Linked DNA regions of Diceros bicornis minor. The protein of the gene in region 3 interacts with the protein of the main gene of each other region in a pairwise test. Links are inferred from orthologs where the notes say so. Each region holds a gene or a part of one and is shown on either strand. Other genes may lie near its edges.

The links.
Region 1: the proteins of RABAC1 (region 3) and SPG21 interact in binary tests that used the Homo sapiens proteins (3 or more experiments, as listed by UniProt). The two-hybrid records come from large-scale screens. The link is inferred for Diceros bicornis minor from reciprocal best matches to the Homo sapiens genes RABAC1 and SPG21.
Region 2: the proteins of RABAC1 (region 3) and MIEF2 interact in binary tests that used the Homo sapiens proteins (3 or more experiments, as listed by UniProt). The two-hybrid records come from large-scale screens. The link is inferred for Diceros bicornis minor from reciprocal best matches to the Homo sapiens genes RABAC1 and MIEF2.
Region 4: the proteins of RABAC1 (region 3) and RAB1A interact in a two-hybrid assay, tested with the Homo sapiens proteins (2 studies listed by BioGRID and IntAct). The link is inferred for Diceros bicornis minor from reciprocal best matches to the Homo sapiens genes RABAC1 and RAB1A.

Annotation. Positions count from the first base shown.
Region 1 is NC_080744.1:59,337,297-59,344,280, forward strand, and holds the start of SPG21 (maspardin), read right to left. Parts: upstream 3,016-6,984; 5' UTR 2,825-3,015; intron 1-2,824. UniProt on the Homo sapiens protein: May play a role as a negative regulatory factor in CD4-dependent T-cell activation.
Region 2 is NC_080757.1:1,614,373-1,621,261, reverse strand, and holds the start of MIEF2 (mitochondrial dynamics protein MID49), read right to left. Parts: upstream 3,017-6,889; 5' UTR 1,887-3,016; intron 1,823-1,886; exon of another isoform or gene 1,710-1,822; intron 933-1,709; 5' UTR 854-932; intron 1-853. Other genes in the region: FLII (protein flightless-1 homolog), read left to right, coding at 3,307-3,369, 5,092-5,202, 5,503-5,574, 6,801-6,881. UniProt on the Homo sapiens protein: Mitochondrial outer membrane protein involved in the regulation of mitochondrial organization.
Region 3 is NC_080773.1:17,246,876-17,254,260, forward strand, and holds RABAC1 (prenylated Rab acceptor protein 1), read left to right. Parts: upstream 1-4,379; 5' UTR 4,380-4,469; coding exon 4,470-4,525; intron 4,526-4,822; coding exon 4,823-5,035; intron 5,036-5,335; coding exon 5,336-5,433; intron 5,434-6,617; coding exon 6,618-6,719; intron 6,720-6,793; coding exon 6,794-6,882; 3' UTR 6,883-7,046; downstream 7,047-7,385. Other genes in the region: ATP1A3 (sodium/potassium-transporting ATPase subunit alpha-3), read left to right, coding at 195-223. UniProt on the Homo sapiens protein: General Rab protein regulator required for vesicle formation from the Golgi complex. May control vesicle docking and fusion by mediating the action of Rab GTPases to the SNARE complexes.
Region 4 is NC_080751.1:22,658,706-22,666,488, reverse strand, and holds the start of RAB1A (ras-related protein Rab-1A), read right to left. Parts: upstream 3,007-7,783; 5' UTR 2,802-3,006; coding exon 2,779-2,801; intron 1-2,778. UniProt on the Homo sapiens protein: The small GTPases Rab are key regulators of intracellular membrane trafficking, from the formation of transport vesicles to their fusion with membranes.

The DNA.
Region 1 (6,984 bases), on a different chromosome or scaffold from region 3:
GCACTGGACTGGCTGAGTATCTTTAATTTAGAGGCTGCCCCTCTTTGCTCAGGCATCCACGTTAGGTCATAACAGGAACCTGAAATTATAGTTCCCTCTTGCAGATTCTTATTGCCAAATGAGGAACTTCCACCCACTGGTCTGGAAGGATTCAAATACTTGCATTGCGTCCTTCCCTCTACCCCAGGGCAAGCCTGGATTTCCTGGGAGAGCTAGGATGAGTTCGAGACTCTAGGATTTAACTCCTGGGCTTTCTCTGAGCTGTCCTTTTAGAGGGGCTTCTCTGGACCGGCCAGGAACAGGGGATTCTAAACCCAGTGGAACTCTTCCTCCCCCGCCCTCCAGATCTGCTCCCTCAAGAACAAAAGGCACTCAGCAGTCTCAATTGTTACCTCTAACCTTTTGGGGGGTTACTAAACTGAACCCTAAGGAGATGGCAAATGTAGACATCCAATATTAAACTTGATTAACAACCTTGACATTGTAATAATGGTCTCTTCTCTCAAGACTAAGATGGTACTTTTAGAAAAGTTTGTTAAAATCATAAGTTGCTCTCAAGCACCAAGAAAATCATCAGCCAGTCTTATGCTGAAAATCAGTGTGCACAGATGTAGTTATTATTATACTGAAATAAAGAAAGTCACTCTTTGCATATCCATTTTCTCTTACCAAATATTAACATGTTAAAAAATCTAAGCCATTTGAACTATATAACCTTTCTCTACGCTGGTTATCACTTTTAATTGAAAGCAACTAGCACATATAGTTAATTCTGGAATATTTTCTATCTGGATAGACTTGAAATATTCCTATATCATCTAACTACTGCCTAATGGCAACATTTTCTAGTACTGCATTACTATAAACAATTACTCTATTGTACAGGAGGAAATATCAAAAACATGTTTAGCAAATAAAATCTACTCAATAGATTTATAAAGCACCTTAGCTAACTAAAGCCAGAAAGTTTGCTTCTAGATTCGCCAAACTTGGGATAAAATTAATCATTCATAGTTTGGAATGAGTTGCAATGTACAAACCAAACTACAACAGAAATACACATCATACACAGGCACACAAATTCACTGTCATCCACTTCTTCCCATAGCAATAAACAGAAAGACGTTCCTTACCGCAGTCCTCAGTATTGTTCACAACCACCCTGGTGTTATAACATTTTATAACTAATCTTGCTGGATGGAGAGATTCCACCCGACTGTGACTAAATGTTTGTAGAGGCAAGTGATTTTAACACTTGTGCTAGTTTGGCAGTACATGAAAGGTCAGATAGAAACCAAATGTCGCATCTGACCAACTGACGTTGAAGAGAAAAAAAGCTCAGTGCTGCAAAGGGAAAGCAGCTGTGAGCAGTATGAAAAGAAATTTTGTTCTCCTAGCTCTCTTTCATCCACTAACGGGGTATACTTTTCCAAGTCACAACAGAAACATTCTGTATGTGGCAAAAAAGGTTAACTGAGATTGCGACCAAACCAGTCAGCATTAAATAGGAAAGAATGTGGACCATGAGCTCAACACTGATTTGATCTCTCACAATTCAATTCTTCACGAAATCACCTGTTCATGCTGGTGGGAAAAGGGCCGCAGAGATTAGCCTTAATCTTGCCTAAGGAAACCCCTCCTTGGGGAGTGCTTTGCATACCCAGTCCTCTCAGCCCTTGTACTGCTCAACAATGAAACTGCCAGCTGTGAGTATGCACCAAGAATTATATGCACTTATCCTTCAGGGTTTCAACAGAACCTGCCAGTTTATAGTCAATGAAATCGCCTTTACAAATGTTTAAGTCACATAACCAGCTTAACTAGTCAGAGGTTTCTGATCCTTTATCTCAATCTGTATTTGATCCACATATGGACAATCTGTGATTATTATTAATACCAGCAATAACAAAATATGAGGACCTAAGAGTCTCTAGGCCATGCAATTGGCTTTTCAATGCAAGTCTCCAGACCTCACCACACTAGGACATAGCTATCCTTTTTTTAGATCTCTTCAGGGGAAGATTTATCCCTCTTTTCTTCAGGAACTTATTCCATTATCTTCTAAACTTCATGGGAGGAAAAGCTGCCTACTTGACATTTCTTCTGTGACACCTCATCTTGTGCTCTGTCTTGGTATAAAAGCTTTTGGAAATTTGCACACAGCTATTAAGTTACTCCTCAGTCTCTTGAATCTTTGTGCCAACAGGAGCTAGAACATTGTAGGTGGAGACAAAGCAGCAGCATAAATGCAGAACTTAAAACTCCCCAGGAAAAGGAGAAGAGGAAAAGTGAGACTCCTGACCTGCTACTTTCCTCATCCCTCATTCACAAGCCTCACACCTGGCCCATACTCAGCAATGACAAAGACATCTGTCACTTTCAGGCTGAGGTGCAATCTCCAAAATAACTGGCCTCTGCACAGAGTTCTTCAAAGTTAACTGAAAAACATGTTCCTGGGCTGCAGCTGCCTAGCCAGAGAATGGGACTACAGGAGGATGCCCTGGTCAAGCCCCCTCCCCCCACCCGCAGGCGACCCACACATAAGACCCCCACCCTCACCCAGTCCCACCGATGACAGCACACAAAGGCAGGGTCACAGGCACACCGACCACCCCCATGTACTACTCGACCTCAGACACACACACACACATACAGAGGGACAGGAGATCACGTGCATGGTCACACGCACCGGTCCACTCGAGTCCACACTCACAAAGCGACACGGACAGAGGCAGCCACGTACACTACATACACACCTACCTGCAACTCCATACACATCACACATCCACACCCCCACTTCCCAGGGCCTGGTTCCACTCCTCACCTGCCGTGTCCGCCCTCACGTCCCTTTCCCTCCTCCTCAAGGAGGCTCTTCCCTCCAGTACAGGCACCGGCCGTGGGGTTGGCTGGGCCCGGGTGGGGGCCCCCGGGCCAGAGCCCACACGCCCCGCAGGCGCAGAGAGCAGTGGGGGCCCGCTGAGAGGCCGGCCTCCGGGGGGCGGGGCGCGCGGCCAAGCGAGCCTGGGCGGCCGCGCTCTCTCCTCCCGAATTGTTAGTTCAGCGGCCGCCGGCCTCGCGCTTCCGGGTTTGAAGGGGGCGGGGCCACGTCGTGAGGAAGGGGCGGGACTGCGTGTCTCCGGCGGTCACCACGGCGACGGGGCGGGTGGAAGACCCAGCCGAGAGACTCCCGGCGCTCTCGCTTCATCCTGCGATATGCGGAGGATTGGGGAGCCGGCGTGGTTCTGGCGGTGGCGGCGGTCTCGGGGAGGAGGTCCGAATTGCCTGTGGGTCAGCTCCAGGTCCCCTGTCTGATTTGAGCACGGAGGGAGAGGTTATGGGAGTGGAAGGAGGGGGCGCCTGGCCCCTTGGGACGTGCGTCAGCCTTCAGTTCTCTCCTCTTCGAGGAAGCAGGTTTCTCTCCGCCGTGTAAAGCTTTGAGGGGACCTCTTTGGGTTCCAGGCTTTGGTGAACAAGGTTTTGTATACTCTTTTCTTGGCAAGGTTATTTTCCTTTGGCACAACTACAGACGCCCTCCATAGTCCTCCACTGTAACGCTCCCACCTCCGTTTCAAGACTTTTGCTGACGTTCTGGGGGATTTCCAGGAACAGCTCCCACCGAGCCCCTAGCTCCTTTATCACTTTCCCTTAAAGGGATGGAGAATATTAATATATTTATAATAATTATTCTTAAACAAGGTGTTGCAGATGTCGCGACTCTCTTTTTCAGTAAAATATGCAGGTTTGCTGAAAGAATGTATGATAAGATTGACTAATAGGTAAATCTCCTTGTTTGAAGTTTTTAGTGATCCTGCAACAAGGTCCTGCTGAATGATCCTCTCCCTAATCTGTATTAGGAGAAACTTGTACCCTGTTTAAAGGCCTTTGGATTTTGCCCTTACCCAGGCAACTGTTATGGGATCAAGGTCAGGGGAGAATTCCAGTAAATTGCGTCCTTAGTCATGACCTCTGCCCTGTGGCTCGGGAGCCTTAGGTCCCCATCTAGAATTAGACAAATCCCAAATGCATTTCCAAACAGTAACAGATTCTCACCCCCCACCCCCCCATTCACCTCTTTTGAAATTTTGAGTCAGTCACAGGAAGTGGTCTTTTATTAAAAGTGCCATATAGGTGTATAGAGCATGTTTCCACAGAAGATTTTTAACCTTGGGGCTTTTTCTCAAAACTTTGGAATAGTTTAATGAATGGAATAACTGGCAAATCACTGGTTGTATGTAAAACCCATTATGGGTGCTGATCACATTATTTATCTCTCTCCCTAAGCGGGCTGGGAAATTTAGTTTAGAGCAAAGGCAACAGAGGGATTCAACCAGTACCCTAGCATAGACTTAAGCTATCGGTATGCCCAAATATATTAGAAGTCCTTATTTGGTTAGTTTGGTAATAGTAATTTTTAACTTGACTGTGGATAATGAAAAACCATTTCACTATGTAGATATGTTTTGTTACATGTATACTTTTATTACAATGTAAAAGATCAAACCCTTTTGAGATTCTACATGTTTCCCTTAGAAAAGGACCCTGTGGTCATGTTTGGATCCTCAGTTGTTCCATAACACATGGCAAACACATTGTCTATTCCCTAATCTGAACAAGGAACATTTAATATCCATGAATTCCAGCTGTCCTATGATTGCACAACTGCAGGGAGCAAACTTTTGACCCAGAGCAGGCCACAGTGCAGGCAGACCTCGTGGATTTGGCTGTGAGGGTTTGCATCTGTCGTGTTTGGGGTCTGCCATATGGTTCCCACAGCACCAATCCCTGTGTAAGAATCACACTTGAAAACTGGAATGTTCACAAAATACTCTGAACACCAAAGTAAACAGATGGCTAGCTGGTTCTAAGAATTGCTGAAACACAAGCTCTATCCCTCTAATTGATCTTTTGACAGGATAATATTTGTTTTAAAACACACATGCAAGATAATCCTAGATATCTCTCTTATGCATGTATACACACCAAACAGAATAGTGCTTACCTCTGAGGAGAACCTGGAGAATGGAAGGGGCAGTGAAGGAGAACTTTGGCTCTAGATTTAGTGTTTGAATTTATATAAGAATGTATTCATATATTATTATGTTATAAAAAAAATAATTAAACTCTCTCTAAATCCTTCAGTAGCTCCCCACTGACTTCAAGCTAAAGTCCAAGGTGCACATACTAGAGCAGGTCTGGCTCTCTGGAAGGGCCCCAAACACCCTCTGAGGTCTCAAACCTAGTTTGTGTATGCTCTTCCCTCCACTTAGAGTGCCTCCTTCTGCTTGACCCACCTATTTTACCCCCAGAAACAATGGATGTATGAAAAAATGAAAGAGGAATAAAACATTTGGTTTTTCACACTAATACCAATTCTTGGAATACCATCCTTTTAAAGCTTCCCTGGGTACAATTGGCTGCAATGTTATATATCGAATTATGCTGAGCCCCGAGATTGAAAATGAATGCTATTTCCTTATTGCCAGACCCAGTCTGTGTGAAATACATACCACACTGGATTATAGGGGTCAGACCCAGAGTGGAGATTTTGGAACTGCCCAAGAAAGATGTTGACATGACTGTTCTATAGCTTGCTACCTAAAAGTCCTATCAAACAAGTTATATGCAGTTATTTGTAATTAATAATTTATTATCATCCAGGAGTTAAGAAACTTAAGTTCTATCTTTGGGCAAGACATCTTCTCTCTCAAGGTGTGGTTTCCTTCTCTGTAAAATGAGTCCATGGTTAGACTAAATGATCTCTAAGTTCTTTCCAGTCTAAGATTTTAGATTCTATATATTTATAAGAGATGTAGTACAGAATCTTTACAATAGCTTTTCCTCAAAGCTGCTCTTCTCTGATAATCCCTTCACTGCCTCTCCCTTCCAATCAAACTTTAAAAAAGTAGCCTGCACACAAAACTGCCTCTTTATGGAAACAGTATTTGAACTTCTTGGATAAGTTAATCTTCGTTTGTCCATCATTAACTTTTTAAAATAAGAGTTCCTAAGCAAAGGTACTTCATCTTTTGTATCATCTGCCAACCTAGCATCTCATTAGTGTTTCTGCTGTAAATAACAATGCAATAATCTACCTTCTGGAAGAAGAGCTGCAATAAAGAATCCTGGGAAACAAGAGCTGCACTATTATACTAAAAAATAAAGCAGCTTCTATCTGTAGGGTTCTAGAAGACTTTATGAATTCTTAGAGGTAATAAAGACAGTGATTAAATAGTAACTAAAATGAGAAAATCTTTTTGGAATTGCCTAGCATAGTGCCTGCATATAATGGGCACTCAATTAACAGATGCTTTTGTTTCTTTGTTTCTGAGCACCAAAGCCTAGCACATTAAATTCCTTGATCAGGATACAAACATTTGCAAATACACGCCGGGTGGGAAAGTGGTTCAGGCCACAGATTGGTGTTAGGCTACTGGAGTGTGAACTCTAGCTCTACCACTATTAGCTATTTAACATTCTGGAAAAATGAGGGTCAATAATAGTACCTTCCTCCCAGGGTTATTGTAAAAATAAAATAAGATAGTTCAGGGGCAGTCCTTAGAAACACGGCTAGCACTCAATAAATGTTAGCTAATAATAACGGTATTGAGAACCTACTGTGTTCCAGGCACTGTGCTAAGTGAATTATGTATAGTATTTCTATTCTTCACGGCAATCCTTGCAAAATAGGTACAACTTCCATTTCGTAGATAAAGAAACAAATACAGGGCTGGCCCCGTGGCTTAGCAGTTAAGTGCACGCGCTCCACTACTGGCGGCCCCGGTTTGGATCCCCGGCGTGCACCAACGCACCGCTTCTCCGGCCACGCTGAGGCCACGTCCCACATACAGCAACTAGAAGGATGTGCAACTATGACATACAGCTATCTACTAGGGCTTTGGGGGAGAAAAAAGAGGAGGATTGGCAATAGGTGTTAGCTCAGAGCCGGTCTTCCTCAGCAAAAAGAGGAGGATTAGCACAGATGTT
Region 2 (6,889 bases), on a different chromosome or scaffold from region 3:
TGGGGTTCCTGAGAACTCCTCAGGAGACAGGGGCCATTCGCAGGGTTTCTTTGGAGGAAATGGGGAGCTGCCCAAGACCCCTCACCCAAACCTGCAAACAACCCACTCACCCCTGGAAAGGGGGTCTTGCAGAGAAAGGCCCTGGGTCCTGTGGCAGGTCAGAGAAGGGTGCCCATCCCCCCCATCCCACCCTCAAGGACCCTTAACATCACCAAAGACCGCGAGGTGGGTCTTGTCACCCCCACCCCCTTTTACAGAGAAACAGGTTCCCAAACCACACGGTGAGTGGGGGGGTCTCAGAGCGTCCAGACTCTCACCCACCCCCAGTCCGATCAGGCCCCTGGGCCTGTGGTCAGGTCCTAGCGGCTGTGTCCTCCCAGTTCCTAACCAGGGCTGGGGACAGGAGGAGGAAACCAAGGCCCAGAGAAGACCATAGCTGGGGGTCCCAGACAGCCTGCCCTGGAGGGCCTCTCAGACCTTTGGGGGGACCTTGGTGAAGCTCACGGAGCCACAGCTATCCTCCACATCTCGAAAGGGCAGCCCCCAGAGGCAGAGCTACCAAGTCAAAGGACAGGATGAGTCAGATAGCCCACGATGACCTGGGGCAGGGGGGGCGCCCAGGAGCTGCCTGTCAAGAGTATGTGTCAGTCAAGGCTGAAGTCCCCGCTGGGGGGGCAGCGAGCAAGGTACCGCTAAAGACAAGACTCCAAACAGAGGACCCGCACAGTACCCTGGATGGGGGCCTCTGAGGCTCCGGACAGTGTGAGGGGAGTGGGGGCGTGGCCTCAGCTGCTGAGAGACCAAGCAACAGAGAAGGTAAGCTGAGGGCCCGAAACCCCAGCTGTTTGCTCACCTGTAAAATGGCAGAGGCTGCGGTGAGGAAGGGTTACAAGTGCGGAGCCCAGAAGTGTGGGGCTGTGTGGGGCCGAGCTCTGGGGCAGCGGAAGCAGAGATCTGTCCTGGGGCCCAGTCCACCAAGCCCCAGCCTCAGGTTCTTCCAGGGGGACCCCTACCCTCAAGCCCTGAGAGCGGAGGAAGTGTGACCAAGGGGCACACTCAAGGGACCAGTCAGATACCAGGCACAACTGTCTCCATGAGAACGCCTGAGCAGATGACCGTGAGCTCAGAGCCAGCTAGGGCACCGAGGACTTCTGGCCTCCCTGCTCGGCTGTGGGTGCCCGGGGCTCAGGTACCAGGTGACCAGATGCCTGGAGCAGCTGAAGCCTGAAGCACTGCAGGTCTCAGCCCCAACACCCGCCCCCATTCGCCCATACTAAAAATAGGACAAGAGGGCCTGAGTTGGTCAAAGGCTAGCCGGGTGACCCAGCATGACCCTGCAACCAGCTTCAGTTTCCTCATCGATGATCAATACTGCCACCTGCCTCCAGCGGGACCAGGAGTCCACTTCGCAAACTGTCAAGCGCTTTAAATACCTCCACCTGTCTAACTCGGGACTCAGCCCACCCCTGGCGGGGTTGTGCAGGCCCCAACCCGCAGCCTTCCAACGCTGGGAAGGGGGAGAGGGCGCGGGTTAAAAATAACCCGACTCTGCGCAGCCGGGCCCCACAGCGCCCTGGGACGCCTCCTGTCCTCCCCTCCTCCGCCAAACCCAGGGCCGGGGCTGAGCAGCCGCGCAGCGGCCCTGCGTGGGCATGTCAGGGCCCCCTTTACGGGGGGACACGGCGGCCCTGGGAAGTGAAGTGACATACCCAAGACGGGAAGAGGCAGAGGCGGATCAGAACTCAGGCCTGGGGCCCAGAGCCCTCCCCTCCTTCCCGGGCCGGGACCGCGGGCCCCGGCGGAGGCCACGCCCCCGACCTGCGTCCGGGGCACGCGCCACGCCCGCGGCTGGATGACCGGGCCGCCCCGCCGCGCTCCGGCCGTACCTGCGTCGCGGCTTCAGCGCACCGACCGGCGGACGCAGCGGGCCTGCTCGGACCCGGGACCCCGGACCTGCCTGGAAATGGAACGTGGAGGACCCGGGAACCGAACTCCGAGGCCCCGGGGGCGGGCGCTGACGCCGAGGCACGCAGACGAGCAGGCCCTAGCTCCAATCGGAGCGCTCGAGGCCCGCGCTCACGTTCCAAAATACTCCGCAGCTCAGCCAATGGTGGGAGGACCACGCCCCCTCACCGGTTTGCGCGCTCCATTGGGGGCGAGACTTCCGATGCACTCTGAATTTACAGGCGCAGGCCCCCTTCCGAGCCTGCGACCCGCCTGGCTGGTGGTATGAGCTGTATGGCCGGCTGCGGAAGAAGCCAGCCCCCAGGACCCGTTGTGACGCGTGTGCGCTTGTAATGTGAGCCTCCGGTGTAGAGAAAGCTGTCCGGGCTCACGTTCCTTCCGGGGCCCGGGCAGACAGGCGGCACCTGGCCCTGAGGCCCGCACGTCTGACTGATCCTTGAGGTCACCTCTGCGAGAGGGCCTTGATGGCCCCATTGTTCTTACCTGTTGGCCCGCGGGGCACACGACATGACTCAGGGTCTACCCGTGCCGCCTGCTCCGTGTGACCTTGTGTGGGCCACTTCACCCGGGCCTCGGTTTTTTCTCCTGCGAAATGGGGACCCCAGACCCCCCACCCCTGCGAAGCATGTTGTGGCTCATCCGGCAATTATTTATTGGGGCCTGTTATGTGCCGGCCAAGGGGGCCAGCAAGCAAATAAATGAGCGGACAGGGACGGGGTGTTGACTCTAAGCGGGAATGATAACGCGCCACTTATTCAGCGCCTGCTGTATGCCTCTAGCCACCCGTGCGTTTGTTCATTTGTTCCTGACAACCACCTTAAGACGCATTTCACAGATGAGGAAACTGAGGCAGGAGGAGGCCTGGGGCTTGCCGCGGGCTCTAGGACCCAAGGGCCCAGGCGTCCTCCCACCACTGGTCGCCATGTAGGGCCCAGCGGCAGAGAGAGACTTTCCGGGTCCCTGCGCCCCCGGGACTGAGTCCAGAATCCCTCCCGCGGTCACGCCCACTGCAGCTGCTCCAGCAACGCAGGGGGCAGCACCTGGACCCGCAGGGCCCGGGACACACCCCGCCGTGCGGCACGGGGACCCGGCCTGGAGGCGCTGAGTCCTCCTGCGCAAGCACCGGGGCGCCCGGCCTCCCCGGGGCCCCTCCAGTCACCCAGCACACGGGGAAGCAGAGGCCGCAGAGGCCCAGGGCGCGGCGGGTCCCCGCCTCCCGCGGAGCGCCGGGCTCCGCCTTCGCGCCGGCCGGGCGGGGCGCGCTGAGGGGCGGGGCGGCGCTGGCCCAGCCCGCGGCTGTCCCCCGCGCCCGCGCCCGCGCCCCGCAGCGAGAGCGGCGCCATGGAGGCCACCGGGGTGCTGCCTTTCGTGCGCGGCGTGGACCTCAGCGGCAACGACTTCAAGGTGAGCCGGCGGCCCGGACCCTCCGGGCCGTCCCTGCCGCTGCGCCCGCGCGGCTCTCCGCTTCCTGCCCCGCCCGCCTCAGAGCCTGGCCGCCGGGACTGCGGGCGACCGGGGTGGGGCGCTCCCGGGCCCAGGCCCCGCGAACGGGCCTCCGAGGCCCCCGCCAGTGCCGCTCGGGAAGACCGCGGCCGGGCGGGGCCGGCGCGGACGCCTGGGCTCGGGGTCACGCTAGGGGGTGGGCCGGGCCCCCACCTCGTGTCCCTTCCTGGGGTGTGGGCCCCGCCTGGGCCAGAGAGCGACTCGGGGGTCGCGAGCCTGTCCTCCTCCCTGGCCCTCCTTCCCCACCCCTCTGAGGTCACACGCCCAGACCAGGCTCTGACTCACAGCCGTGCCCCTGGCTGTCCCCAGGGCGGGTCTGGAGCCGACTCATCTCTGCCCTGTCCCCGCCGCCGCCACCTCCATCCTCTGTGGTCTTGAGCAAGTCACTTCCCCTCTCGAGCCTCAGTTTTCTCATCCGGTGAAGGGGCTTTAAAGTCGTCCTCTTGGCGGCCTGGATTAGTTGCTATGGAGAGTGTGTCGGGCAGGTGTTTGAGGCCCTGGGTGGCAGTTGTCTGAGCAGCTGTGGACTGACAGACCAGGGCCACAGGAACCGGAGCCCAGCCTTCCAGCGAGTGGGTGGGCAGTTGTAGAGAGCCAGGAACGAGGTGGGCAGTGCTGGTGACCAGGGAGGAGGCAGGGTAGGAGTGGAGGTGAGAGCTGGCCTGGTCCTGGGAGGGTCGGCTGGGGCTGCAGCATGGGTGGCTGGGCAGACTCCGGCTGGGGTCATTGTAGTGTCAGCCTGGGTCTGCAGGGTCAGGGGACCTAGGCTTTGGCTGGGGTCAGAGGTCTGGCCAGGGCCAGGGAAGCAGGCAGGTCCTTCCTGCATTTACCCACATGTGCACACACCTTTGACCGCATGCACAGGCCGCCACACCGCTTTCCTGGGCCCCAGTTCCTGCCACTGTCGCCTGGGGTCTCCATGTGGCCTTTCTAGACTGGAAGAGTCTGAGTTATCAGCCAGGAATGTGGCCATAGGGGGAAGGGGACACCAGCCAAGGGCACTGAAGGCACGTGCTGCCCGCGGCTCCCTGCCTTTAGGGCTGGGATACTGAGGTGGGCATTTGAGTGTGAGGAATTGAATAACGAATGAACGAATGATCGAGGCAGACCCGTGCAGGCTGGGGCACAGGGGGGTCTGGACCTGACTACAGATGGCTTATGTGCTGATGGCGGGGGGAGGGTGGTGGTGGTGGTGGTGCAGGTAGGGCCTTGGTAGGGCCTCAGGGGGTACCCTCACCCCAGGCAGCCCAGGCAGGGCCGGGAATGCCAGGCGAAGGCGTTTGAGCTGAGGTAACCACATAGCTGGGTGTGGGGATGTCACCTGGAACAAGCCAGCTCCGTCCTGGCCTCCTGAGGCTCAGAATCCAGCCGCAGAGACAGATCTTTGGCCGCCAGCCATCCTGATAATTCGTTGGTCCTCACAACACTTTAGTCCTGAGGGGGCTTTTATTAGCCCTATTTTATGGTGAGGAAACTGAGGCACAGAGTTGTCCAGGGTCACACAGCTGGTGTGAGGTGGCTCTGTTGCTTCGTAAAGGCTCCCATGGGCAGTGGGGGCCGCAGAGGGTGGTAGAGCAGGGCTGCCCCTCTCCCAGACCAGCCTCACCGTGACACACCTCCCAGGGTGGCTACTTCCCTGAGAACGTCAAGGCCATGACCAGTCTGCGATGGCTGAAGCTGAACCGCACCGGCCTCTGCTACCTGCCGGAGGAGCTGGCTGCCCTTCAGAAGCTGGTAAGGGGCTTTGGGTGGGCAGGGAGAGTCCCTGTGTATGGGGCTGGGCCAGGGGGGCAGAGCCTGTGCAGAAGGCTGACGACGTAGAGGAAGACGTTGACGGCCACGAGCAGAGCTGGCAGAGGGGAAGTGGTACCCTGTCCCTGGGGATGTGCGAGTGGAGACGGTCTGTGAGGGAGGGAGGCTGCAGAGGTGGACTGGGCCTGTGTGGCTGAGGGCCCTGGGTGGTGAAGGTTGTGGTGGGACTCTGTAGACACCCTACCCGCCCTGCTGAGCCTCCGCTCCCCTGTCCTGGCCCAGGAGCACTTATCCGTGAGTCACAACAACCTGACCACGCTTCATGGGGAGCTGTCCAGCCTGCCGTCACTGCGGGTGAGTGCTCGCCAAGCTCGGGAGTGGGGGCTGGAGCCCAGCCAGGGGCATGAGGGCAGGGCCAGACCCCAGGCTGGACCAGCACCTCTGCCATCAGTGTGTGAGGCTCAGGGGTCTGCTCCTAAGGGGAGAGGATAACAGTGATGCCCTATGTTAAGTCACCCATGGGGAAAACGGTTAAAAATCCAAAATCCCACCCATTTTGGACAACAGCTACAATAATAACAGCTGACACCAGCTGAGCAGTGTGCCAACTATTCCATGAGGGTTTTTTCATATAATCCTGGCCTCCACTAAGTTCACAGATGAGGACACTTGGCCACAGAGGCAGGTCACTTGCCTGAGGTCACATGGCCAGGCAGTGGTAGCGCTGGGGTATGGTGGGGTTTGGCTGGTGGGGGACGCAGTCAAGGTGGTCTGCTTACCACTGCCCTCCATGGAGCCTCTGACGTCCCAAAACAACAGGCCCCTGTCCCAGACCCTTCAGGCCACAGCAAGAGTCATTCCCATCCAAGGTTGGAGCCCCGAGATGTTAAGGGCACAGCTTCTGGACTCAGGCTGCCCAAGTTCAAATCTGAGCTCTACCCCTTCCCGCCTATGTGACCTTGGACAAGTCCTTTCCCTTTCTGGGGAGGGTTTAGCCGTGTCCTCTGTGAGGGAGCAGCATGGCACCACACAGGCGTTAGGGCTGAAAGAGTGTCAACAGTGGCGGCTACCGTTAGTCTTGTTGTCACTTGCAGTCATGGCACTGCCCCCTGGCCTGTCTTCTCTCCCCTCAGCCATCCTGCATGTACTCTCTGCACATCTGTAGCATGAGAAGGTTTCAGCCCGACAGGGAGAGAGAACAGACTTGTGCTTGGTCCACACTTTGATTTCTCTTTGGCTCAACTTTCTCCCTCTGTGTAGAAACCCTCACTCAGAGCTGCACCCCTATCTTGCCCTCTGGAATTGGGAAGAATAGGGATTGTTCGATCAGAAAAGGTTCCCTGAGGACCCTCTGCTGGGCTCTGGGGCACATTTGAGCTGGGCTTTGAGATGGGAATAGGAGCTCATAGGGAGGATAGCAAGAGCTCGCCAGGTGGAGGGACTATGAGCAAAGGCCAGGGGAGGAGAGCACTCCGGCCTGGCCTCCGGTGATCTTCCTGAGGAAGTGTCCCTCCCTGATCTCTCTGTTCCTTCATGGGGGTGGAAGCTGGGAGTCACCGACTCTTGTGGTTTATCCCCAGGCCATCGTGGCTCGAGCCAACAGCCTGAAGAATTCCGGAGTCCCCGATGACATCTTCAAGCTGGATGACCTTTCGGTCCTGGTCAGTGG
Region 3 (7,385 bases):
CCCCTTCCATCTCTCCTCTCTTCCTGTCTCTCTGGGCCTCCTCCCCTCTGTCTCCTGCGTGTTTCTGTCTCTGTCCCTTTTGGTTTCTTCCTGTGTCGCTGTCTCTCTCTAACTCTCTCTCTCTGCTGTGTTTCTTTCTCTCCGTGCCTGTCTCTGCCATCTCTGTGTCTTTCGTCCTTTGTCTCTCGCTCCAGGTTGGGTGGAGAAGGAAACCTACTACTGACCTCAACCCACCACATCGCCCGCCTCTTCCCTGCTCCCCCAGCCCAGGACAGCCCCCTCCAGTGTCCCCCATTTTGTATTCGGGGGGAGGGGCCCTCTCTCCCAGTGGCCCCACCTTTGCCTCACCCCTCAAATTATCTCCTGCCTCCCTTCCTCTCCCCCTCTGGCTGGCTTCTCCCTCCCACCCCACCCCCTGCCTCTCTCTTCTCTCTTTTCTGTGTCTCTGTTCCTCTCCCTCTCCTCACCCCTACCTCCCAGCCCCCTCCCTGGGCTCTTTTTTACTCCTTCTCAGCCCCTGGCTGATGCCATCTCTGGTTCTGGACAATTATCAAATATATCAGTGGGGAGAGAGAGGCGGTGTGTCGTGTTTGCTTTCTGAAGCGGGGGTGTGGGCAGGATGGCGTCCCCTGTGCTGGCACACACGGCCGGGTGATTCACACGATCCCAGGAATGTCGCCTGGCACGGGCTTGGCAGTCACAGAATCTCGGAGTCATCGAATCTTGGAATTTTAGACTCACGAAAGTTAGAGTGGAAGCAGCTTGAATTCGCCAGGTGATGGGATTATGGGATCAGAACAGGGGAGAGGGAGGGAGTCAGATCCTCTCACGTTGGAGTAGGACCCCAGGGAGACAATGACAGTGACCATGATGATGATGGTGAGTCACTGAGCGCCCAGTCTGTGCTCTGCTCTCTCTTGAACACTCTATGTGTATTAGCTCTTTTAATCGTTACAAGATGGGAGGCACAGAGAGGGAAAGTGACTTGCTCAAGGTCACACAGCTGAAAGGTGACAAATCCGGGATTTGAACCTAGGCTGTCCAAGCTCTAAGTCACTGTGTTATTCTCTCTTTCTATTGAGAAAAACTTTCATACAGTGAAGTGCACAAGTCTTAAGGGCACAGCTCAATGACTTTAAAAATTACATCCATGTAATCAGCACCCAGATCAAAGTAAAGAACATGTCCATCCATCCAGAAAGTTCCCTCCTGTCCCTTTCCAGTCAGCACCACCCCCCTCAGAGGGAACCACTGATATGATTTCTGTCACCATCCTTTAGTTGTGCCTGTTCTTGGACTTCACATAAATGAAATCTTACAGCATTTTGTCTCATGTGTCTGGCTTCTTGTCCTCAACATCACGTCTGTGATAGTCATTCATGTTACTGCATATATCAGTAACCCATTCTTTTTCATTGCTGCGTAGTATTCCATTGTGTGACTATAGCACAATTTGTTCATTCATTTTCCTGTTGGTGGACATTTAGGTTGTTTCCACTTTGGGGGCCATGACAATTGGTGCTGCTAGGAATAAGAACATTCTAGTAATGTCTTCTGATGATACGTGTATGCATCTCTGTTGGGTACATGCCTAGAAGTGGCATTGCTGGTCAGGGGATGGACTATGTTTAGCTTTAATAGAAACAGCCAGACTCTTTCCAAAGCTCTTGTGTCATTCTGCATTCCTACAGTGTATGAAAATTCCATTTGCTCCATATCCTCGCCAACACTTGGTATTATCAGTCTTTTGAATTTTAGCCATTCGGGTTGGGCAGCTATACCACTTCCCTTGAGGCAGCCTTTCTAACACAGCCCAGAGAAGTGAGTCAGAGGAAGGCCTGGGGCTGGACCTGGCCTGCCTACCTCCCTGCACAGATGTCTGGGATGCTGAGAGCTTGTGTGTGAATGAGTGTGTGCATATGCCCATTGCATTAGGGAGGAGCACCCAAACCTGAGGGGGGAAGGCTGTCAGAAGGCAGGAGCCACGTGCACCAGATATGCTCTTGATGCCCAGGACAGAGCCTGGTCCTAGTAGGGGTTTCATGAGCCTGGACCTCTCCTAGGGAGGCCACAGAAACTACTTTATCAGGTGCAGGGAAAGAAATACCATAGAGGTGGGCAAACTGAGGCCCAGAAACGGCAGAGACTTCCTTGAGGTCACATAGCAGGAATATAACCCAGGTTTCTGATTGTCTATGCTAAGGTCTTCCCACCCTTCCAGCTCCACTTCTCTGGGGATCCTCAAGCTGGAGGGACCACAGGGCCAGAGCTCATCTCCCACAGTCTTCTCAGGTGTCCCCTGCCACCATCCCCCCGTCTCAGGGATCCTCCTATCTCTCACAATATCTCTGCCTGAGGGTCCCCTCTCCCATAATCCCTGTTTCAAGGGGCTCCTCTCCCACAATGCCCTGTGCCAAGGCCCCACCTCCCAAAATCCCCTGAGTCAAAGTTCCCCCCATGTCCTTCTCAGAGGGACCCTCCCCACAATGTCCTTACCTCTGGACCCCACTGCCCACAACTCATGCTGTTCGACACCTCCAGCCCTTTGCCCATTATGTCCTCTGCTCGGAACAAGTCCTGGTAGGTTATGGAGTGAAACTGCTTTGATTGAGTTCCTATAAGGAAACCCAATGGCTCTCATAGCAAAAGTCAAACCCCCAATTTCCAAGGTTGGCCATGGAGGAGGCAAATGGACTTCTGCCTCCAACTCTCTGCTCCCCAAGATTTGTCTTCCTCTTGGGGCCTCTTCTGGTTCCCTCTGCTGCCCCCATCACTCTGAACTCAGTTAATGCTGCTCCCCCATTAACGCTCTGAGCTAACTGCACTCACCACCCTCCTTTGATTTCATGATGCCAGGCGAGACCCAAGAGGGAAACGTGAACAAGATTCTACTAAAAGGCTGACTCTGACAAAGGGGAAATAAAGAGTAACTCGCCAATCTGATCTTCAAAGTGTGGCTCATTCAGCTTCAGCTTGGGACCCCCACAGGGGGCCTCCCCGCCTATTGCTCCACCAGCCCCTTTGGCAGGGCCGTCTTCCCCACCTCCAGCAGGCCTCAAAGCCCAAACCCAAAAGGGATGTTGGGAGAGTTGGGGTTGAGTCATTTGGATATCCCATGTGGATATTCTCCTTCAGCCCCACTCAGCCTTGGAAAATTAGGACCTCAGTCCACGTAAGGGAGCCCAGGCTTCCCGACACTTCCACCCACATTCTTGGGGCCCTGTTCTGGTGCACTCCTTAAGAACTCCAGCTGTTTTCCCACAACTAACTCAGGGGCAGGGGCAAAGACTGAGAGAGAACTACAGCTGTGGGAAGTGGGGAAAAGAAAGCCCTAGGCCTGTGATGCCAGCCACTCTTTGGGACATCCAAGGGGCCAGCAGCTCCTAATATGTTACTGTTAAATTTGAGAAGCCTGAACTCTAGAAATAATCATAACATTCATGATTATGTAGTGGCAATAACATTGACTACCATTTATTGAGCAGTTATAAAGCATCAAGACTCTTTTAAACACTTTACATGGACCATTTAACTGAATCATCAACCTCATGAGTGTGGTACCATCAGGATCCATCCCCACTGTCCCGATGAAGATACTGAGGTTCAAGGAGGTGATGAGATCATCAGCCTGGATTTTCACCTGACTCCAGAGTCCCAGCTCTTTTAATTATAACAACTCTCTTCAAAAAATTCTCAATCCTTTCCGTTTCCCAACTTCCCTCCTTCCCATTCAAACGGGGGAGTCCCTAGGTCTTTAGTCCTAACCCATTCATCCTTGGCAGCCCAAGGGTTGTGCGGGCAGCTTTGCTCCCCACCTCAGATACCCGCTCCAGCAACCATGGCCCTCTCACAAGCCTCTGTCTCTTGAGGAAGAAAGGAAGGAACAGATTCTCGCGAATTCTCTACAGTCTCCCTTCTCAAAATGTGGTCCAGAGGTCAGCAGCTTCAGTATCACCTAGGAACTTGTTACAAATGCAGATTAATGGGCCCCACCCCAGACCTGCTGAATCAGAACATCTGTTTTATCAAACCTTCCAGCTGTTTTTATGCACTTTAGAGTCAGAACGACAGCTCTACACGGTTCCCATTGTATCCTGCACGGGAGAGAGTACACAACGTCTACTTCCGCCTTCAGAGTTCCCATAATGCCTCGATTCTGGACAATCCACCGTCCCCCTACTCCACATACGCCGCTTCTGCAACTACAATTCCCACAATGCCCAGAGGCGCTCACCGGCGCTTTATGCGACAGCATCTCCGAAGGTGTTTTGTGAGCCATCATGGCGCCCACCCTGCCGGACAGCATCAGGACTACAATTCCCACAATGCTCAACGCAGAACTACCGCCCCAAGCGGCTCCCGAGCGGCGCCACGTCGGCTCAGCTGGGTGAGGCCGGGCTCGGGCGGGGCCGGCAGGGTCCGCAGGGCCCGGGGCTCGTTACAGCGGTTCTACCCCTCACCACGCAGACATGGCGGCCGAGAGGGACCAGCAGAAGGATGCCGAGGCGGAAGGGCTGAGCGCCGCGTGAGCAAGCCGGCTGTAGCCCCCTGTAGCCCCCCTGACCGACACTCGGGAGTTCTGGCCCCCGCCCCCTCCTCCCTCGGGCCCCAGGAATCCCGGCCCCCAGACACAGGAGTCCAGGCCCCTGGTCTACTCTTCGGGGACTCTGAAGTCTGGGCCCTCAGCCCCCTTTTGCCCTAGGGTTTAGGAGTCTTAGACCCTTCGCCCGCAGGACCCCAGAGCCCGCCCCCCGCAGCCCCCATCTTGCTCATGAGTCCGGGCTCCCTCCCGGTCCGCCGCTGACCCGGTTCCGCCCACCAGGACCCTGCTGCCGAAACTGATCCCGTCCGGCGTAGGCCGTGAGTGGCTGGAGCGGCGCCGCGCGACCATCCGGCCCTGGGGCTCCTTCGTGGACCAGCGGCGCTTCTCGCGGCCCCGCAACCTGGGCGAGCTGTGCCAGCGCCTCGTGCGCAACGTGGAGTACTACCAGAGCAACTACGTCTTCGTGTTCCTGGGCCTCATCGTATACTGCGTGTGAGTGCCTCTCCGCCCCGCCCTCGCCCTCGCCCTCGCCCCCCGCCCGCCAGGCCCGCCCCACCGAGAGCTCTGGCCGCACTGCTCGGCCCCGCCCCCCGGACGGCTCCGCCAGACCTTTTCACCGAAGGGCCAGGTCCCTACTTCCCCATCAGCCTGGCTGGGACGCACTGTGACCTAACATGACCTAGACTTGCCTGGCCTCAAGGACATAGCCTGTCATCCGCTGGTGTAGACAATCGGGTTCCCTGGCTGGCCCAGCCCCAGCTGCCTGACCGATGCCTCCCTGCCCTTCTCCAGGGTGACGTCCCCTATGCTGCTGGTGGCTCTGGCCGTCTTCTTTGGCGCCTGTTACATCCTCTATCTGCGCACGTTGCAGTCCAAGTTTGTGCTTTTTGGTGAGAGCTCCCTTGCCCAGATGGATCCCTGACGCCTCAAATCCTGGTCTCTTGGAAGGAAAGCCTTAAACCCCAAACCTGTCTGCCCAAGCCTAGATCTACACTAGGTCCCCCAAACCCGATCCCTTAAAATCTCAGACACACCAGGTGCTCCCACCCAGTTTCAGCCCCCCAAATTGCTGTTCCCCAGACCCAGAATGAGATGCCCCAAAACTCACTCTGCACCTATCTCCTGTCCCTTAAAGCTAGCTTCCCCTCTCTCTCCTCCGTCACTTGTGGAAGGCATCAGCTGCAGGTACCCACGTTGGACACCAGGTGGTGATCTTACACTGGCCTAGATCTGTCCCCTGCCTCTGTCCTGCTTCTGGGATGAGACCAGAAAGATCTTGGGACTTCGCAGAGAGGGAAGCTGAGGCTTTTGGCTCTTGTGGTCCCAGACTAGCACCAAGCACCATTGGGAAGAAAGGCCTGAGTCCCCACGCAGGGGAAGCTCAAGGTTTAGAGTAAGGACAGGGAAGAGCTAGGATCAGACAAACAGGGAGACTTGAGACCGAGTTCTTCAGGGGCCTGCAAGTCATGCACATGACAAAGGTGGGCTGGGTGGAGGGACATGTGGGACAAGCACAGGGCATGGAAGGAGCGCCTGGAAAGCACAGCTGTGACTTGGCTTCAGCCACTGCTGCTGCTGGGGTGTGCAGACCTGTCTTCCAGTCTGCCACGAGAAGCCAGAAATCTGTATTGTTATGTGAAGTCATTCAGTTTCTCTGTCAGCCACAAATCAGATTCTTGTGGAACATTGTGCAGACTCAAAAAATACATCCACAGGTCAGACTTGGCCCTTGGGCCACCAGTTTGAGATTCCTGGTCTACCTGAGTGCAGGTTGGAGCAGGAGAGCTCTCATCTGGGGGAGTGGGAGGCTGGGAGCTTCCTAGCAGAAGTGGGGTTGCAGGGCAGAGGGCAGGGGGCTCAGGGAGGTGTGCTCTATGCTGGCAGACAGTGGGGACATTGGAGACGTGGGTGGGGCCAGGACTTCCTTGGCATAAGGAATTTGGATTAGATCCAAATTCTAATCCAGGATTAGCTCCTGGAGCTCGTGACACCAGCCTGTTTGGGGGGCATCAGGGGTGACTGGGAGAGGGCCCGAGTGCCGGAACAGCATGCCCCTATGCCGTCTGCCCCTCAGGCCGAGAGGTGAGCCCAGCCCATCAGTACGCTCTGGCAGGGGCCGTCTCCTTCCCCTTCTTCTGGCTGGCTGGCGCGGGCTCTGCCGTCTTCTGGGTCCTGGGTGAGTACAGGGTCTGGGTGGGCGGTGGGAGCCAGGTGAGAGAGCATGTCCCTAAACTGCCCACTTTCCTGCAGGAGCCACCCTCGTGGTCATTGGCTCCCATGCCGCCTTCCACCTGACGGAGGCCGTAGACGGGGAAGAGCTGCAGATGGAGCCTGTGTGAGGTGTCTTCGAGGATCTGCCAGCCTTCCAAGCCAGCCGCCCCATCCCTGTCCAGCCCTGTCCCGCGCGGCTCTTTTGCTCCGGCCAAAGGCCCCCTTCTCGTCACAAGCCCAGGGAGGGACTCCGGCTTTGGAAATAAAACCGTTACAGTTGTCATTCAGCAAATATTCTCCCAGGGTCCTCTGTGGGTGTGTGCGGAGTGATGCTGGGGATACTGCAGAGACTAAAAGAGAGGGGGCCTGGGTGGAGGAGGGGGGAGACAGTAAGCAAGATAAATAACTAAAATATCATAGGATGGCCGATGGTGATAAGTACCCCGGAGAAGAAAAGGTGTGTTGGGGGGTCCCTGAGACCACCCCCGTGTTCGATGATTTGCTGAGAGGACTCGGCTCAGTATACAGTTGTGCTCACAGCTGTCATTTATTAGCCTGAAAGGTTAGGAAGCAAAATCTGCCAAGAGAAGAGGCACGTTGGGAAGTCCAGAGGACCCAGGGGAGCTCCCCA
Region 4 (7,783 bases), on a different chromosome or scaffold from region 3:
TAAATATTAGCTAGTATACTATTCTTTTGCATTAGCATATAAATGTGTATGCTATAATACACATGTATTACAACATATAATATTATACCTGGCTTATGATAAGTGGCTATAAATGTTAGCTACGAAGACAACATCATGGAATCATGGAAAGGTACTCACTCATTAAAAGTTTTAATTTAAGAAAAATATAAGATTTTAAAGTTTAGAACAAGGTGTTAAATGGACTTATATTTGGGTGATAAAACCTAAGAATTTCTTTCCTTCTTTTCTCTATTTTCCAATTTTTCTCTAATTACTTTTATTATGGTAACAAGCTTCATTAAAGACAAAAAGAAGAAACTGCTGAAGTCAGATGGCTAAAAATCTGCCTGCTGGTTGCCCCTGTGACCTTCCCAAATAAAATATCCATCACCTCCTCTCATCTCAAGTAATTTTCACTAACGCTTTTCCAAAGGTTTTCCCAAATTCCTAGATTATTTTACCAGACACAGTCTAGAATATAAATACAGTAGCCCAGGTACTGGCATACTCCATGCCAGAAAAAATATAAAAATGATTCTGGGTTTGATTCTGTTGAGGTCATTAATCTAGAATCCTCAAACGAAAGGGTGGTTTGGCACTGTATTTACTTAAGAATTACTATCCTTGCCATTTATTAATCATTCTTCTTCCTTCTTCCCCCTTGAAAGATCCTCCTCACTCCCTTCTGCTTCTCCAAATCCATTGCTAGTAATTCTCTTACAGGTATCTTTTCTATAAAGTTTTCCTGAACCCAACTAGCCAACCACAACCCTCCACCCTCCTTTGAAATCTTGTTGCTCCAATCCATGCTGCACATGTGGAACTTGCTATATCTACTGGTATTTGATCTATATACAGTCTACTTTCTATATTCCATTATAAGCTCCTTGAGGGTAAGGATTATATTCCTAAATCCTAGCACTACTAGAATGTCTTACATGACATACAAAACCTAGAGTGCTCTTATAGTTTTCTAAATTCTTTTACAAACACTTGAACCTCACAACTACCCTGAGAGGAATAACGACTCCTACTACCTTATTTTACAAAAGGAGAAACAAATTCAGAGGCTAAATAATTTGTCGTAAGTCCTGTTCAATTAATCCTCAAGATCTATGTACAATACTAAATATATGTAGCAAATATAAGAAACTCCCTGAACAGAAGAGGTTTACAAACCTCCATAAAGTAGCACATCCACGTACTTGACTGTTGCCAGGAAAACTACTAAATTAGGGACCCCAAGTTCAACTCTGCCCAACTATGCAAAACCAATTTTGTTCTTGGAGCCCTTGACAAAGAAATACAAAACTGCCAAGATAGCAAATATGGCACTATTAGAATACTATCCTCAACTTCTTCAAGTATATAAAATTTTAATAAAATACTATAGCTTCTGTTTAGTACAAAAGGGGACATTTCAGCATCCAACCACAGTATTACAAAACAAAGTCAGAGTGCATTTTGCAAGAGCCATGTGACACACACATGACAGTCAGCTAAACTCATGGGTGGATCTTTTAGAGGAAATGTTTAGCAGTAATTGACCAAAGCAGCAAATAAACTCAACTTTCAGGACAAATACTGATTTTATGCTTTAAAAAAATTCCCCCTCTCCCCCAAAGCCTTCTGACACTGTAGTAGAATACCAGTTAAATCTCCTCTAATTATTCATTAATTTATATATGCAAACAGTAGGGGGATTTTTTTAAAGGGCCATTAAGGAGAGCTCAACAAAGTCTTCCCAGGGAAAGTGAACCCCAGTTCCTAGGAAAGGTGCCAGGTATATCACATCTGCTGTAGTGACTTCTTGAGTAAGCAAGAAAAAGAAATGCATTAACTTTTCATGACACGTCATGGAACCTCATTCCCTATCTGCAAGCATTCAAGTAGGTAATCCAAAACCTACAGATCTATCATGGGGTCCATTCGTTTCTCTGCCAACTTCACAGCAAAGTCTTCCTTTAATTTGGTGATACTATCAGAAAAGTGTTCCTACGTTTTAGTTCTATTTTTTTTTCTCTTGACCTCCACTAGACAAAATGACTTCAGTGTCCTCTATAAAAAATTCTCACAAATGCCCAGGTTTTTAGGAAGGCAACGGGCCTGGCGAGTTCTCAAAGAACTCCAGGAAATAATTCAAAAAGAGAACTAAACATTTTAAATTGCTTCTCGCCATCTACTCATTCCCCTCAATCCCCCGCAGTCCTGAAAAGCATCCATATTACCTGCAATCTGGCGGGGAGAATGGAAGGAAAGAGAGCCAACAAGCTCAGGATTTACAAGTGAAGCTGGTTTCCACCCCGACGATTCTGACAGCTCCGCAGAGTGCGGGAGCAGAGACTGACAGTGCCCTCTAGGAGTGCTCTCCCACCCTCTCCCCTCCCCTTAAAAACAAGTCCTCCTTCAAAAGTCACTGCCTCCAAGAGAAGCTGCCTCTTCCCATCACCTCACTACCGACTCCCAAAAGCCCCAACCCCGCAGCAGACTGTTCCTCTGCCCCGGGCCCGCACTCAGGCCCTCCAAACTGACCCGGTCCAGGCCCAGGTGACTCACCCCTCCGGCCCGACCCCTCCCCCGGCCGCACCTCCTCCCTCAGACAATGGGGCCTGACTCCCGGCCGCCAGCCTCTCCTACCCCATCACCCTCACCTCATCCCGGCCGAGGCCCCTACTCCCGCCCCAGCCCTCCTCGCCCCCTTTAAGCTTTCCCAAGGTGGCCCACCGACCCAGCCGACCGGTGCTCTCCTGCACTCACTATTCGGGATTCATGCTGGACATGTCACTGCAGCTGCCGCCGCCGCCACCGCCGCCCTTGCTGCTGCAGCCGCCGCCCTGACTCTCTGCACCACGGGTAACCAAAGGAGAGGAATAAGATAGGCTGTTCCGGGAGAGCAAACGTCTTCCCCAACTCCGTCCCCTTAGAACACAATCAGCAGCCGCCGCCACTCAGCTATCGCTTCCACCCAAAATGGCCGCCGGCGAACCAGGAAATAGGAAAGCCTTAGACCGAGGGGGTCTTTACAGAGCCCAGAGGGCGGTCGCACCGCGTGGCATGCCGGGAAAGAGAGTTGTGAGCGTGGCTGTCGGCTCTTGGGACAGACGGTGCGGCGCGACGGCCGGGACTCCATTTCCCGCCAAGCCCCGCGCCTCTGGTGCATGCGTACTTGAGGGGTTGTCGCCCGCCCCATTCCCCACTCTCTCACCACCCCCTTCGCCCCTCCCAGCTCCCCTCCCCGCTGACTCGCTGGCTAGGACTTCGCTCGGACTCCCCCTAGCGGATTGGCTAAGGCCGAGCGGCCCTGGTGATGTCATCAGTGAGACGTGGCAGCCGGGCGAGTCAGCGCCCCACGGGGGAGGGGGGAAGGGAGGGGCAGAGGGCGGTGCCAGCCGCCGAGGGAGAGTAGGGGTGGGGGGAGATCAGGGGGCTCCGAGGGCTGGGGACAGAGGGAGCTGTGCCGGAGGGACGGCATGAATGCGGAGGTCTGGAAGCAAGTGGGGCTGGAGGACACTCCTGGCCGGTCCTGCCTCCCGTGGGCCTTTTGCTGGTCTGGCCAGCTTGAGGCTTGAGCTTAGCGGCTGGTACCAGGACGTCCGCTCTAAGGACGGAAGAGGAGTCAGGGGCCTGGGCTGAAAACTTGGGAGTCTCTGGATAATATGAAGCCATTCTTGGGAGTCTCTGGATAATATGAAGCCATTCTTTCAGTTCTCTTCCTCACTCACCCAGCCCCACTGGGTCCGGTCGTCGGCCAGTGTTGGCCGCAGGCAGTACCATTTTCTTTTTTGATTTCTTACCGCTCTCTTTCCAGCCCTGCTCTTATCGCCTCAGCCCAGTATTGCAGTATCCTTTGAGTGGGCTAACTGCCTCTTTTTCCTCTCTGCCCCCGGCCATTTGCACACACAGGCAGATTGATCTTCCTGAAACAGCATTGTCATCACGACCCCACAACTTTCAATGGCTCCACTTTCCGTCCACGGAACACAGCCCAGAGTCAGTCAAAAATTCGAGGTCTTCCTGCCCTGGTCCCAGCCTTCAAGTTGAATTGTACTTATTTTTATAATTTTTATTTATTTTTTTCCTCCAAAGCCCCAGTAGATAGTTGTATGTCATAGCTGCACATCCTTCTAGTTGCTGTATGTGGGACGCGGCCTCAGCGTGGCTGGAGCAGCGGTGCGTCGATGCGTGCCCAGGCCGGACCAGGGCCGCCAGCAGTGGAGCTCACGCACTTAACCGCTAAGCCAGGGGCTGGCCCATGAATTGTACTTATTTTTAGTTGATATTTAATACTGAGCTGTTCTGCAAGATTGGAAAGTAATAAACGATAGAAATGTGTGATTCATCACTATATAATGCCTAGAAACTCCAGGAGTAATATGAACATAACATTTTTTAAAACCTTATGGTCTAAACAGCTCTCTTTAATCAGCTCAGGAATTTAAATCTCCACTAAACTTTAACACATTATCTTGGGTTATTTAATTACAAAGGGCATAGTATAATACATTGTCCAAAGTTTATCTTCCAACTTTTTCTAAGAACCAAGAAAATTATCTCCCAAGAGTGATTGCAAAATCACTTTAAATTCCCGTGATGCCAAAATATGGAAAGAAGGCAGTTCTTATTGCTACCCATTTACTAACTACACCCCTTAACCCCCAAATTCCACCATGTGCCTTGGTTGACAACTTCATCAAACAGTACAGTAGAGTTCCTTCACATCATGTTGGCTTCTGAAATGAGCGGGGTCACCACACCACGGTGAAGCACCTTGAATGGATCGATGATAGACATCGAAAAGTGTGTATTACCCTGGACTTTTGTCCTTTCCTGCTTGTTGTGATTTCACAGAAGAAACACTCAGAAAATCTCCAAAGAACTCATCCTGAGCCAAAACTACAATTTTTAACCTGTCCCTGCCCTTGGAGGTATACCCCTAAACTTCCTCTAATTACGTATTTCCTTTCCCAACAAAGAATTACCTCCTAATAACTTATAACTCAAGTGAGAGAGTGGTTGTAAGAATTAAATAAAACAGATTATAAAGCATATAATACTATGACTTTTGGGGCACTTGGTAAAGGCTAATTACCTTTCTCCTTCCCTTAACTTCTCCGCCTTGTGTCTTAGTTATGGTGCTGTAATATGCAAGAAGATCAGAGGCAGCCTAGCTTGCGGGTGGCGGGTGTTTGTTTTCTACCCCGGACTACAACTCATATGTTATTTATATTAAGACTTCCTTCCCAAACTTCAAGTGTCAGTTTTGCTGATTCAAACTTTAATATATTTTTTTATGTTTAGGTGTTTAAGAGCAGCTACTTTTATAGTTCAGATTAATAACTCAGAATAATTTATTAAACTACCACGAGCCTTGTTGGCTGCCCTATCGTTGAATCAAAACTCTCCTAGGGCTGTTTGTCCATCTGTCCTTTGGCTTCCTTCCTTCCTTTCTTCCTTCCTTCCTTCCTCCCTCCCTCCCTCCCTCCTTCCCTCCCTTCTTTCCTTCCTTCCTTCTTTCCTTTTCCTTTTCTTCCTTTTTTTTTGGGGGGGGGTGGTGAGGAAGATTGTCCCCGAGCTAACATCTGTGCCACTCTTCCTCTACTTTGTATATGGGACACCGCCACAGCATGGCTTGACTAGCAGTGTCCACGCCAAGGATCCAAACCCACGAACCCCGGGCCGCTGAAGCGGAGCACGCAGACTTAACCACTACGCCACCAGTCTGGCCCCATCTTCCCTTTTCTTTAAATCAAATATTTATGACCTGGCACATAATAAATGTGTTTGGAACTTGTTCTTGGAACCATGAGAAATACAAAGGTGAATAATTACAACTTTCTGTCTGCAAGGAGACTACAACCCAGTGAGAGAAAGATGTGTCCACAAACAAGACCTATATGGGAAAATGCAAAAATAAATTAAAATGATATGAGGTGTATAAGGACAGTAATAAATTCAGTGATTGCCAAGAACTAGGAATGGGAGGAGAGAATTGTCTACAAAGAGACACAAGGGAACTTTTTGGTTTGATGGAAATACTCTATATGTTCATTGTGGTGGTGGTTAGTTACTCAACTGTATATGCTTGTGAAAACTCAGAACTATACTCCTAAAAGGAGTGAATTTAACTGTATATAAATTTTACCTCAATTATGAACCTGACATTAAAAAATGAACAAGGTAGGGGCCGGCCCGGTGGCGCAAGCGGTTAAGTGCGCGCGCTCCGCTGCGGCGGCCCGGGGTTCGCTGGTTCGGATCCTGGGCGCGCACCGACGCACTGCTTGGCAAGCCATGCTGTGGCGGCGTCCCATATAAAGTGGAGGAAGATGGGCACAGATGTTAGCCCAGGGCCGTCTTCCTCAGCAAAAAAATAAGAGGAGGATTGGCGGATGTTAGCTCAGGGCTGATCTCCTCACAAAAAAAAAAAAAAAAAAAAAATGAACAAGGTAGAAGTACAGAGGAGGGAAATAATTCCAATTCAAACCGTTGAGAGTGCTTTCATGAAGGAGACGGTATTTGAATTAGGCCTTGAAAAAGAATAAAATTTTGATCATTGGCAGAAATGGGGGAGAGGGAGCCATTTATCCTAGAATGACAAAAGAATGTGAGCATAACCCTAGAAGTGTGAAGATATCCATGTGTTTAAGGAATAGTGAACAGAGGTTCCATGGGAGATGAGTTGGGAGATGTTTAGGTTAAGGTGAGATCATGGGGAGCCCCAAATGCCTGCTAAGGAGTTTCAACTTGATTCCGTAGCAGCAGAGAGTCAAGAAAAGTTCTGAGAAGGAGAGTGAGGTGTTCAGCTCAGTGGTTTAAAAGGAGCACTTTGGAGTTCTGTGGAGACTGGAGGTAGAGAAATTAGTTAAAAGGTAACTAGAGGGGGCCGGCCCCGTGGCTTAGCGGTTAAGTGCACGCGCTCCACTCCTGGCCGCCCTGGTTCGGATGCCGGGCGCACACCGATGCACCGCTTGTCAGGCCATGCTGTGGCGGTGTCCCATATAAGGTGGAGGAAGATGGGTGCGGATGTTAGCCCAGGGCCAGTCTTCCTCAGCAAAAAGAGGAGGATTGGCATGGATGTTAGCTCAGGGCTGATCTTCTTCACAAAAAAAAAAGGTAACTAGATTCATTTAGGCAAAAGATGATGTGTCCTGACCTAGGGCAGTTGCATAAAGAATGGAAAGGAGAGGAGATTCCAGAGAGGAGGAGATAGAATCTGAAGGCGTGAGGGAAGGGAGGAGCTAAAAGTGACCCAGAGATATCCAGTTTCCCTGCCAGCATGGGAACCAAGGCCCAGCAAGGCAGAAAACAGGGGACAAGGGGCCTGGAGTGGGGTAGAGAAGGAGGAAGGTAGACAGTGCTATGTGGTTCAAGGTCAGGGTTAAAGCTGCCCTCGTGTGGAAGTACTAGAACTACCAGAAATTGTCCGTCTGTCCTTCTGAATCAGCACAAAAGACGGAAGACTGTCAAAGATAGACAAAGCCAGACACTAGTTAAAGCTGTGAGGATAGATTTCATTCAGTAATAACTTGCAGTAGAGAAGAGGGCCCAGTGTGAACTGAACTCAATGTCACTGAAACGAAAGATAGACTTTTTAAGAGCTGGGGTGTGCTGAGGAAAAGGCATTGAGGAATGTTAAGGGGGTTGGTCCATGTGACTAGGCCACCTGGGCTTGTTAACTGGCACTTATCTGGAAGACAAACTTTTGCATGTTTATGACAGGAGGCAGTGGTCTAAGTTAGAACAAGGTGCCCGCTGGGCTGGGAGT